2 linked regions of the Drosophila melanogaster genome follow. The protein of the gene in region 1 interacts with the protein of each later gene in a pairwise test. Each region holds a gene or a part of one and is shown on either strand. Other genes may lie near its edges.

The links.
Region 2: the proteins of Orct (region 1) and Idgf2 interact in a two-hybrid assay, tested with the Drosophila melanogaster proteins (one large-scale study listed by BioGRID).

Annotation. Positions count from the first base shown.
Region 1 is NT_033777.3:24,274,323-24,279,328, forward strand, and holds Orct (organic cation transporter), read left to right. Parts: upstream 1-1,937; 5' UTR 1,938-2,622; coding exon 2,623-4,269; 3' UTR 4,270-4,470; downstream 4,471-5,006. Other genes in the region: Orct2 (organic cation transporter 2), read left to right, coding at 1-811. UniProt on the Drosophila melanogaster protein: Probably transports organic cations.
Region 2 is NT_033779.5:16,445,542-16,451,012, reverse strand, and holds Idgf2 (imaginal disc growth factor 2), read right to left. Parts: upstream 3,684-5,471; 5' UTR 3,617-3,683; coding exon 3,508-3,616; intron 2,700-3,507; exon of another isoform or gene 2,544-2,699; intron 2,184-2,543; exon of another isoform or gene 1,828-2,183; coding exon 1,270-1,827; intron 1,211-1,269; coding exon 555-1,210; 3' UTR 505-554; downstream 1-504. Other genes in the region: Idgf1 (imaginal disc growth factor 1), read right to left, coding at 4,294-4,952, 5,024-5,471. UniProt on the Drosophila melanogaster protein: Cooperates with insulin-like peptides to stimulate the proliferation, polarization and motility of imaginal disk cells.

The sequences.
Region 1 (5,006 bases):
GGCTTTGAGTGAGCTGCTCGATGAGGGAGAAAACTCGGAGGAGAAGGCCAAGCAGAAGCTGGAGGATCAGGAGCTGGATGAGGGACCACCGCCCTCCGTGTGGGATCTCTTCTGCTACCCCAATCTCCGGCGCAAGACGCTGCTTATCTTCCTGGACTGGCTGGTGACCAGCGGCGTGTATTATGGTCTCTCATGGAACACCAGCAACCTGGGTGGCAATGTGCTGCTGAACTTCGTCATCTCGGGAGCCGTGGAGATCCCGGCCTATATATTCCTGCTGCTGACCTTGAACCGCTGGGGCCGGCGATCGATCCTGTGTGGCTGCCTGGTGATGGCCGGTCTCAGTCTCCTGGCCACGGTCATCATTCCGCAGCGAATGCACACCCTCATAGTCGCGTGCGCCATGCTTGGCAAGCTGGCCATCACGGCGTCGTATGGAACCGTTTACATATTCTCCGCCGAGCAGTTCCCAACCGTGGTTAGAAATGTGGCCCTGGGCGCCGCCTCTATGGTGGCCCGGATCAGTGGCATGATGGCACCGTTCCTCAACTTCTTGGCCACCATCTGGAAGCCACTGCCGTTGCTCATCTGCGGATCCCTGACCTTGGTAGCCGGATTGCTCTCCCTCCTGCTGCCGGAGACGCACAATAAGCCCATGCTGGAGACCATCGCGGATGGCGAGCGCTTTGGCAAGAAGACCAAGGCAGATGTCTACCTGGAAACGGGCCAAGAACTGAGAGCACCAGAGGCGCAGCCACTCAAGGGATCAGGCGAGACAAATGGATCAACCATAGCCAATGGCCACAAGTAATAGTTAGACGCTGGTGTTGAACTTTAAAGTTTCAAGAAATTACAGACAGGGCATCTAGAATTCGGTCACGCCAAAGGCAGGGCATTTACCTTTAAAACATAGACCAAGTATTATATACAAATTTTGAAATCTCACACGTAACCAAAAAAAAAAAAAGACCATGCAAAAAAAATTAAGATTGAAAAGCAATGGGTAGCAACAAATAGATCATAACTCTTTTAGCATTTAGCCGGGCAGTGAGGAGCGGTCTTATAAAGAGGGTTACGAATTCCGAAGATTAGGGGAGGTTTTTCCCAGGAAAATCAGCTGGAAAATATACCGTGTTGCAGCATAATTTATTTCTATACCTATTTAACTTTAGATGATTTTGAAATAAACGTACTTTTCCAGAGATTAAATAACTTTACCCCTCCTCCTCGTTGACCCCTCGTAAACCCGGACAGAATGTCTGGCCATTCCATTAGGATTTTTGAAACGTGTTTCCGCTGTGTTTATTTTCGTAGTCGCCTCTTATCAGCCCCAAAAACACGAGACTCTCATTTGAAATGTGGACCCGTACTATAAATCACGAGATTAACAAGTGATTTGTTATACTACTTAGTTATAACAATCATTTTTGGCTGCAGAAAGAACTCATATGCCTTGGAATGCGAATCATAATCGTACGATTCTTGGGCTCTTGGGCATAATGTTGCATTATTCACATCTCGCGAGCACTTTGACCTTGATCTTTTCCTACGTGGCTGCTCGAAAAGTGTGTCGTCTATTTGTAGTGCACCATTTACCAAGTGAACTGCCACATGTTCTCTGCACTTTTCAATTAATATTTAAACAAACCAGCCGATGTTTCAGATAAGAAACGGAAGTATACGTTTTTTTTTTAAAGAGAAATCGGTCTGAATGAAAGAGCAATTTTTGGAAGAGTATGTTAGTTAGTATTATCTATAAGCAGAAGGCAAACGTACATATATGGGGAGCTCATATATAATACTTATCAACATACAGTCGTGGTCGCAATATTGGGATATGTATACTTCGCCAGTTAAATTATTCAAATCGAATTCAAATATTTTCAAAATGTACAGCATTTATTCATATTAATTTTCATTTATTAGTTTAAAATGAGATAAACTCAGATACGCTGAAATTTGGAATCGAACCACAATCGGTGGACACTTTCTTTGGTCAGAAGATGTTCCTGCGGGCTCTAATTGACATCATACGATGTCCAAATCAGTGCGGCAGCTGCCACTTCTCCGCCTGCCCGGCACCCCGATTTCATCCCCATTCTGATATGGGAAGTTATTGATTCTATTTAGAGTTTCCTAATGCGGATCGCTGATCAATAGATTGGCTACGGGGTTGAACGCTCTACACACCACACACACACTGGTAGATAGATAGGCGCGTACCGCTCACACAGACACAGCCAGATAGGCGGACGTTCTGTTCTGGGTTCGTACGAACCCTCGATGCTCTTTGTGTTTTCAGTCTGAGACTGAGGCAGCTGGCGAGCGGTTGATCGCGCGCTCCAAAATCCGAGATTCGCTGGACAGAGATTCACTGCGGTACTGGAGAGTGCTGCTGCAGCAACTGCTGGTGCTGGTGCTGGTGCAACTTGGTTCCGTTTTTCAACCAGATTGTTGCACAATCGAACGGGTTCATCGGGCGTATACGCAACCAGACGCGTTAATATATTGCGCATACGTCACGGTGCCGCGACCATTGAACCGCTGCTAGTCAGTTATCGTACGACACTCGACGGTTGACAACGCCGAATCTCAGGTGTTACACCTGGCACTGCTCCACCAATGGGCTACGACGACGTCATCACCCACCTGGGTGAATTCGGTCCGTATCAGAAGCGCATCTACTACCTTCTCTGCCTGCCGGCTATAGTCTGCGCCTTCCACAAGCTGGCCGGAGTGTTCCTGCTGGCCAAACCCGACTTCCGATGTGCCCTGCCATACGAAAATGGCAGTATCTATGAACTATCACCCCACCTGTGGAACCTATCGTATCCGGAGAATGAAAGGTGCTCCTACTACGATGTGGATTACACGGAGGAGTACCTGAATGGCAGCATTCCACGGAGCAGCAACGAAACCAAGACCTGTTCCAGCTACGTTTACGATCGGAGCAAGTATCTCAATAGTGCGGTGACCGAGTGGAACCTGGTCTGCAGTCGAAGCCTGCTAAGTGCCACCAGTGATTCGTTATTCATGCTGGGCGTGCTCCTGGGCAGCTTAATCTTTGGCCAGATGTCCGACAAGCTGGGACGCAAGCCCACCTTCTTCGCCTCACTGGTGCTTCAGCTAATCTTCGGCGTTTTGGCTGCCGTGGCACCCGAATACTTTAGCTACACGATTTCCCGTATGATTGTGGGCGCCACCACTTCGGGAGTCTTCCTGGTTGCCTATGTCATCGCCCTGGAGATGGTGGGCTCCTCGTATCGCCTCTTTGCCGGCGTGGCCATGCAGATGTTCTTCTCCGTGGGCTTTATGCTCACGGCCGGCTTTGCCTACTTCATCCACGACTGGCGTTGGCTGCAGATTGCTATAACCTTGCCGGGACTGCTCTTCCTTTGCTACTACTGGATCATTCCGGAGTCTGCCCGTTGGCTCTTGATGAAGGGTCGCAAGGATGAGGCCTTTGTGATCATCGAGAAGGCGGCCAAGGAGAACAAGGTGGAGGTGCCCAATGAAATCTACGAGCAGCTGGTGGACGAGGTGGCCGAAAAGAAGAAGCAGGACGAGATGGCCGCCTCCCAACCAGCGGCCACTGTGTTCGATCTCCTGCGCTATCCGAATCTTCGACGGAAAACCCTGCTCATCTTCTTCGATTGGTTTGTGAACAGTGGCGTTTACTACGGCCTGTCGTGGAACACCAACAATCTGGGTGGAAACCAATTGGTTAACTTTATGATCTCTGGTGCCGTGGAAATTCCCGGCTATACGCTGCTCCTCTTCACTTTGAACCGTTGGGGTCGTCGCTCCATCCTGTGCGGTACCATGATGGTGGCCGGAATTAGTCTGCTGGCCACCATCTTCGTGCCGAGCGACATGAATTGGCTGATCGTTGCCTGCGCCATGATAGGAAAGCTGGCTATTACCTCGTCGTATGGAACCATCTACATATTCTCAGCGGAACAGTTCCCGACTGTGGTGCGGAATGTGGGTCTGGGAGCCTCCTCCATGGTGGCTCGCGTGGGTGGCATTCTGGCACCCTACCTAAAACTGCTGGGCGAGATCTGGCGACCGCTGCCGCTGATCATCTGCGGAGCACTGTCTCTCACCGCTGGCCTGCTGTCCCTGCTCTTGCCGGAGACCCTTAACAAACCCATGCCGGAGACCATCGAGGATGGGGAGAACTTCGGCAAGAAGCCGGCGCCGCAAGAAACCGCCGAGGAGGGTGGCACCCAGGAGCTGTCCGGAATGCTGAACGGAAAGTCCGGCTAATTGGAGCCGGAATTGCGAGACGACGAGCAGTTAATCACTCAATCTACACTGATGGCCTCAATTGGTCATTTCAACGAATTTAAGCATTCAGCGCACTTCCATTTCTCCAGCGATGTATATTGTACAATTCATTCCATTTTCTCAGCTCTATTTGTTTAATTTTAAAAGCGATTTAATAAAAGTCACGCATATTTAAATCGTATTTGCACACAAGTCGCCGTCTGTTCAACGAACTTTGTGACAACTTTGTTTTTATTGAGCCGGTTCACCGTCGGTGAGACGATAATATAAATTTGCTCATTAAAAGAATTAGGTCTAAATGGTCGGCTGATAAGAGAACGCTATAATCTCATTGAGTGCAATCTCCTAATGCACTTGCCCGCCAGAGGAACATTCAAATTTTTTACTCATTAATGGCGCTAATAAAGTTGCGTTCACATATCAGTGGTTGTGAGTGATAAAACTGATTACTGTCAACGCTGTCCATTGATAAGAAAATCAAATCAAATCCACAAAACTCACATGTTCCCAACCTTAAGTATGTTCAATTTAACGGACTGATCAAGTTTATCTGATTTATGGTTCAACGACCTTATATTGATATTGTATATGGAAATGGGATATTCCAATATTTATGAGCCATGTGATAATTTTATACCCCTAAAACTTTGAAATAAAGAACATTTCATAAATGTTATATTACTTGACTAATTCAAAGATAAAAAGTTTTAGTTTGA
Region 2 (5,471 bases), on another chromosome or scaffold:
TGGAGCTTTTCAGTGGAATCACCTCCTCGCGTTTCCCCGTAGTGAAACGAAAACCCCAGACGAACAATAGCAAACGCAGTTTTGTGGGTATTATTATCAACGAAATTCAACCAATTCGTTTGTCTCAAGTGCCAACTGAGATCGGGTTCAATGAGATCACCTCTCAGCTCGGTAATTTACAGAACAGATTATACGTCTTTCTCGAGATTATGTCCATCGACTCATAGTTTAAATAGGCTAATTCCACGGGCATAGTGATAAGTCTGCACTTTATAAGGTGTTGACGAATTAGCAAGGTCGCTACTGTTCATTACTCATGCCCAAAAATGTGTAAATATTTAGCTTTTAAATGCTTAATGAAAATGGGTACATAGCGAATAAGTGCCAGATAAATAAAATGTATATACGAGCTCCTAAAAAATATTTTGATATAAAATGAAATCCATGAACTCGGCAGAGCTTAAACTTTTATAGAGATTACACAAAACAAATGTCATAGGTTTTGTTTATAATTGATAATTGTTTATTTAAAGTATTAAATGTTATGTTTCGTTTTATAGACGATATTTGATGGCTCGCAGAATGGGATACTTATCGCCTGAGCACTGTCCACGGAAATCATCGTAGCTCAGATCGAACAGCGCCACGCCCCCTAGGTTCTTGACACGGGCATAGGCTGCCTTATTGGAGGCGGAGTCGGGATCATCGTAGCTCACCCAAATGCCCTCGGTTATCTGACCATCCACTGGGCGATAAGCTATGCCTCCGAATCTCTTGGTGGGATCAGAAACTCTTCGCAGTGGCGATTCGTTGCCCTTGAGGAATTGATTTTGGGGATTGGACAACTTTCCGCAGATTTCAGCATAGCTTAGTAATCCAGGCTTTTGGGACTGGAAGCCCTCGGGTGCTGGTCCACTTGTCTCCGGCACAACAGGAACTCCTTCGAGACCCGAGTCCTTGGTAAGTTTCCATGCATTACCATAGGTGGCAACTCCCAAATTGATCTTATTGGATGGGAATCCCTGAGATAGCCAGTACTCCACCTGGAAATCAGCGTTAAGGTGTGCCAACCTATCCTTCGATCCATCGGGATGGTAGATGGGAGCACTGTAGTCCGCCTCCTCGGGATTACGGGCTGGTGTCAGGAAATCGAAGGTAGCCAGGTTCACAAAGTCCACCAGGCCATTCAGAGCGGGAATATCAAAGTACCCTAAAGTCATAATTAAACTAAAGTATAATTACATATTGTTATTATTTTGAAATACCTACATGTTGAGTTTACATTGGGCAGCACAGTCAGACTGAGCAGAAATCCATCAGCTCTCAAGGAGTCCTTTACATCCCTTACTAAAGCGGTAAACTGCTCCTTATGAAGGGCTGCGTGTGGATCCACTATGAAATCGCCGGTGAACAGCTTCTTAATACTCTTCCATGCCAGTCCAAGATCACCGTGAACCTTTCTTGGCTTATTCTTTGGGAACTGATAGGCCAGATCCAAGCCATCAAAGCCGTAGGTCTTAACCAAGTCATAGGCCGATCGGATGAAACCAATTTGACGAACCTTCTCGCCCTCCAGCAGATCGATATACTTGTTGGGATGATCAGGGTCGATGTCATGATCGCCGCCCACACTCAACAAAACTTTCAGGTGGGGATACTTCCTCTTGAGGGAGGTAACCTCGGAGAACTGATGCTTGTATATGTCCAGGTTCTCGTTCATACTGTACGCCTGTAGGTTTTCACCTCTCAGCCCAGCATAGCCGTAGACCAAGTGGCTGCAGAATTGCAAGGCGATCTCCAGATCGGGATTGAGCAGCTTGCCCAGACCTGGAAAAAACACAGTTTAAATTCAAAAGATGGCATATTTAGTATGCACGAAAAGTACAACGAGCTGCACTCGAATAACAAATAATCCCAGAGACTCGAAGTGGTCATTGCTGTGGGACACTATCTGCGCACAGTGATCCGACACCCAACACTCTCGCTCTCGGTGAAAACTACCGGAGAGCGGAGATCGGAGATCGGTGTATCTCCCCCTGACCAGAGCCACCTCCTCTCGGATGCTGATCCATTGTCTCGTCGACTTCAGTGGCTTAATTGAACGCCAACAGTGTGAGCCCAGCGAGCGGTTTATTATTGTTTGGCTCGGCTGCAGAGCACAGTGGGTTGAGTTGTGTTAAGAGCTTAATGTAAAATATAATCATTTGCATTTATATAAGAATATTTAATTAAACGTTATTTGAAAGCAGAATTTATAAATGAACTTTTCGGTTTGTACCTAAACATATTTCTGAACATACATTTGAGCTGCTAACAAATCAACTTCAGTCATTTTAACTTCTACCTGTTTTAAAAATTTTTACAAATTTAAATTTATTTAATTAATTATTAATTTTATTTATTTACCTATCGAATGCATCTATTGGACGATATTTATCTCATTTTTCCCCTATCCTAAGGACACTGTGCAGCGCTGCTGAGTCACTTGGTGCTCTGCTTGCCACTTGCTCGGATCGCTGGTGCCAAGTCAGCGTCCGCTGGCGGGGCAGTTGTCGTGCTGGACTCGCTGTGTGTTGAACGCTCTGGTTTTTCATTTCGAATGCGTGGGATCGGCTCAATAATATAGACTTAACTCGCCCTATACCAAAATAATCAACTAATTGCCATATTTTGAGAATTCATTCCATTATTTTTGTTTGGTAAGTTACACCCGCTCAAATTAGCTTGTTAATCCGATCAGAACTTCTGCTTTTTATCGCTTTGCGAGCGAAACTCTGCGGGAGAGCCAGTCTCTGTGTTTTATTTTTGAAAAAGAAATAAACTGGCCAGATAAGCCACTGACCTCTATAAAACTAGCTTTGGCTCTCTTTATCTCTCTGTTTCGCTCGCCAGGCGATAAGCACTGCAAGTTGAATTAAATTAAGTCCGAGTTTTGTTTTGAATCAGAAATGGTTATGTAACTCGATTAGGATGCTTTTGTTTTCATTCGTCTGTAAATTTGGCACACGCTACTCAAAAGACAGGCGGTATTTTGGTAGGCTTTTTGGATAACTTTGAATAAATGATTAATACTTTCAATTTTACTCCCATTCCTCATATTTTAGTTCATTTACTAAATGTGTCGTTCAGTTCAAACGTGGCTTAGTTGGTTAATAAGGTTTTACCAGAATTACTGTTTTTCAAAGCTTTTCAAAAGGCATTTTGGATGACAATCAAGTGTGTATATTCATAAAACCTAAGTTGGTCAGTTTTCATTCATTAAAAGAATTTAAAACAGATCAACAACATTTTAGTGAGTAATACTTATAATACTCTAGTGCTAAATGGAACCAGTTTGAACAACTAAATTGTTTTTACGTTGTAACTTTTTCTGTGTTTGATTGCTAGATAGAATATTTTACAACAAGTTAAAACCTCATCGATCTGTGATCTAAGTTTTCTAAAGCTATGTATATATTATTTGTCTGTCATATTCACTTTCTGGAGTATTCCGACCACCTCACTCACCTTCCCTGGTGTAACTCGAAGAGTCATAGTAGCAGACTAAGTTGGAGGCAGCTTCTGTACTTGCCGCAAAGAGGCACGCGACAAACGTAAACCAGATCCACGCCTTCATGGTGCCAGGGATATATCTCTATAGGCACAACCGCAGAGCAGATCAAATGAAATCGAACTGAGACTGAAATCGAAATGGAAAACGAAACCGAAACCAAAACCCCAGCCCCAAGCCGATGACAAAAAGCTTGAGCGGAGCTTTAAGAGGGGTCTGAAAGCCGATCTGAAGCCGAGCTCATTGCCTTACTTATTCTCGCAATGACTTAATTGTGTACACAGAAATTAATGACGACGATTGCGACGAGGCAGACGCAGGGTCAAAACGTTGTGACCTCTAAAATTAAAAAAAAAAAAACAAGCAAATAATCTGAAAACATTGAAACGCGCTTGCTGATTAGAATTCGAAAACAGTGTTTCTGATTGGTTTCGTAAGTGTACATATATAGAACTAAAAGCGGTGGAAATACCCGTCTATACCACATGATTTAGTTTATCACACGCACTATAGAATTCAGTTTTGTTTTGCAACTCGTATGTGTTTGAATATATTATTGTGGGTTTTTAGTAAATTACAAACCAATGATTTGTATTTTTGCCAAAAAGGTTTTTTCTCACTGAGACCGATTATTAAATAATGTGTTCAACCGCAAACATGCGCTTCAATATTTGTAATTCAAATGAAACATTTATTAGAAAACTTAAAATATATGGCTTTGTTAGGCTTAACAAACAAATCATTTATCCCATAAAGTACTTAATTGACCGCAGTATGGGGTACTTTTGGCCAGTGCAAAGTCCACGGAAGTCATCGTAACTTAAATCGAAAAGGGCAATTCCGCCGAGTCCTTTGCCCTTGGCATATACTGCCTTTATTCCAGCAAAATCCGGATCATCGAAGCTCAGCCATACGCCAAAATCTCCATTATCATCTGCTGGCCGGAGAGCGTAATTTCCGTATTTCTGGGTGAGATCCGTGACCTTGCGGAGCGGCGCCAATTCTCCTCTATATTGAGCGGATGCGTTCTGCGACAACTTCGAGCAAATCTCTGGCCAACTTAGTAAGCCCTCAGCACTCTGGATTTGTATTCCGCCGGGTGCAACTCCACATGTCTCATGAACAATGGGAGCACCACTGAGTCCAGATCCCTTCGATAATTTCCATGCTCTGCCATAACTGGCTATTCCCAGGTTCAATTTTTGGCCAGGACAATGATTCTGCAGCCAATAGTTAATCTGGAACTCCACATTCAAATGGGGCAAGCGATTCTGTTCGTCCTGGAAGAAAATCGGAGCTGTGAAGTCCGCCTCCTCGGGATTTCGTAGTGGGGTGAGAAAGTCGAAGGCCGCCAGGTTTATATAGTCGAACTGGGGATGCAGTTTGGGGACATCGAAGTACCCTAACGAAATGATTGATTAGGTGGTTAATAAAATAGTTCCTACTATATGTAAAAATAGGATATATACTTACAAGTGGAGTTCACATTGGGCAGGACTGTCAGAGACAGCATCAGATTAGCAGATCGAAAGGCATTCTTTATATTTCCAACGAGATCGGTGAATTGTGACTTGTGCTCCTCCGCCTGCGGGTCCACAACGAAGTCACCAGTGAAAAGCTTCTTGAACGACTTCCAGTAAGATCCAAGGGATCCATGGACTTTTCTGGGCTTATTACGGGGTAACTGGAACGCGAGATCAAGGCCATCGAATCCATTTCGCTTAAGCAAAATCATGCTGCTGTCTATAAAATTCTGCTGAGCCGTGCGATTCGCCTCCAGAAGCTCTACATATTTATTGGGGTGGGCCTCATCCACATCGCGATCTCCACCCACGCTGAGGAGAATCTTCAGTTGAGGAAACTTCTGTCGCAGGGCGGTGATGTCCTTGTAGTAGAACATGTCCAGGTCCACATTCAGACT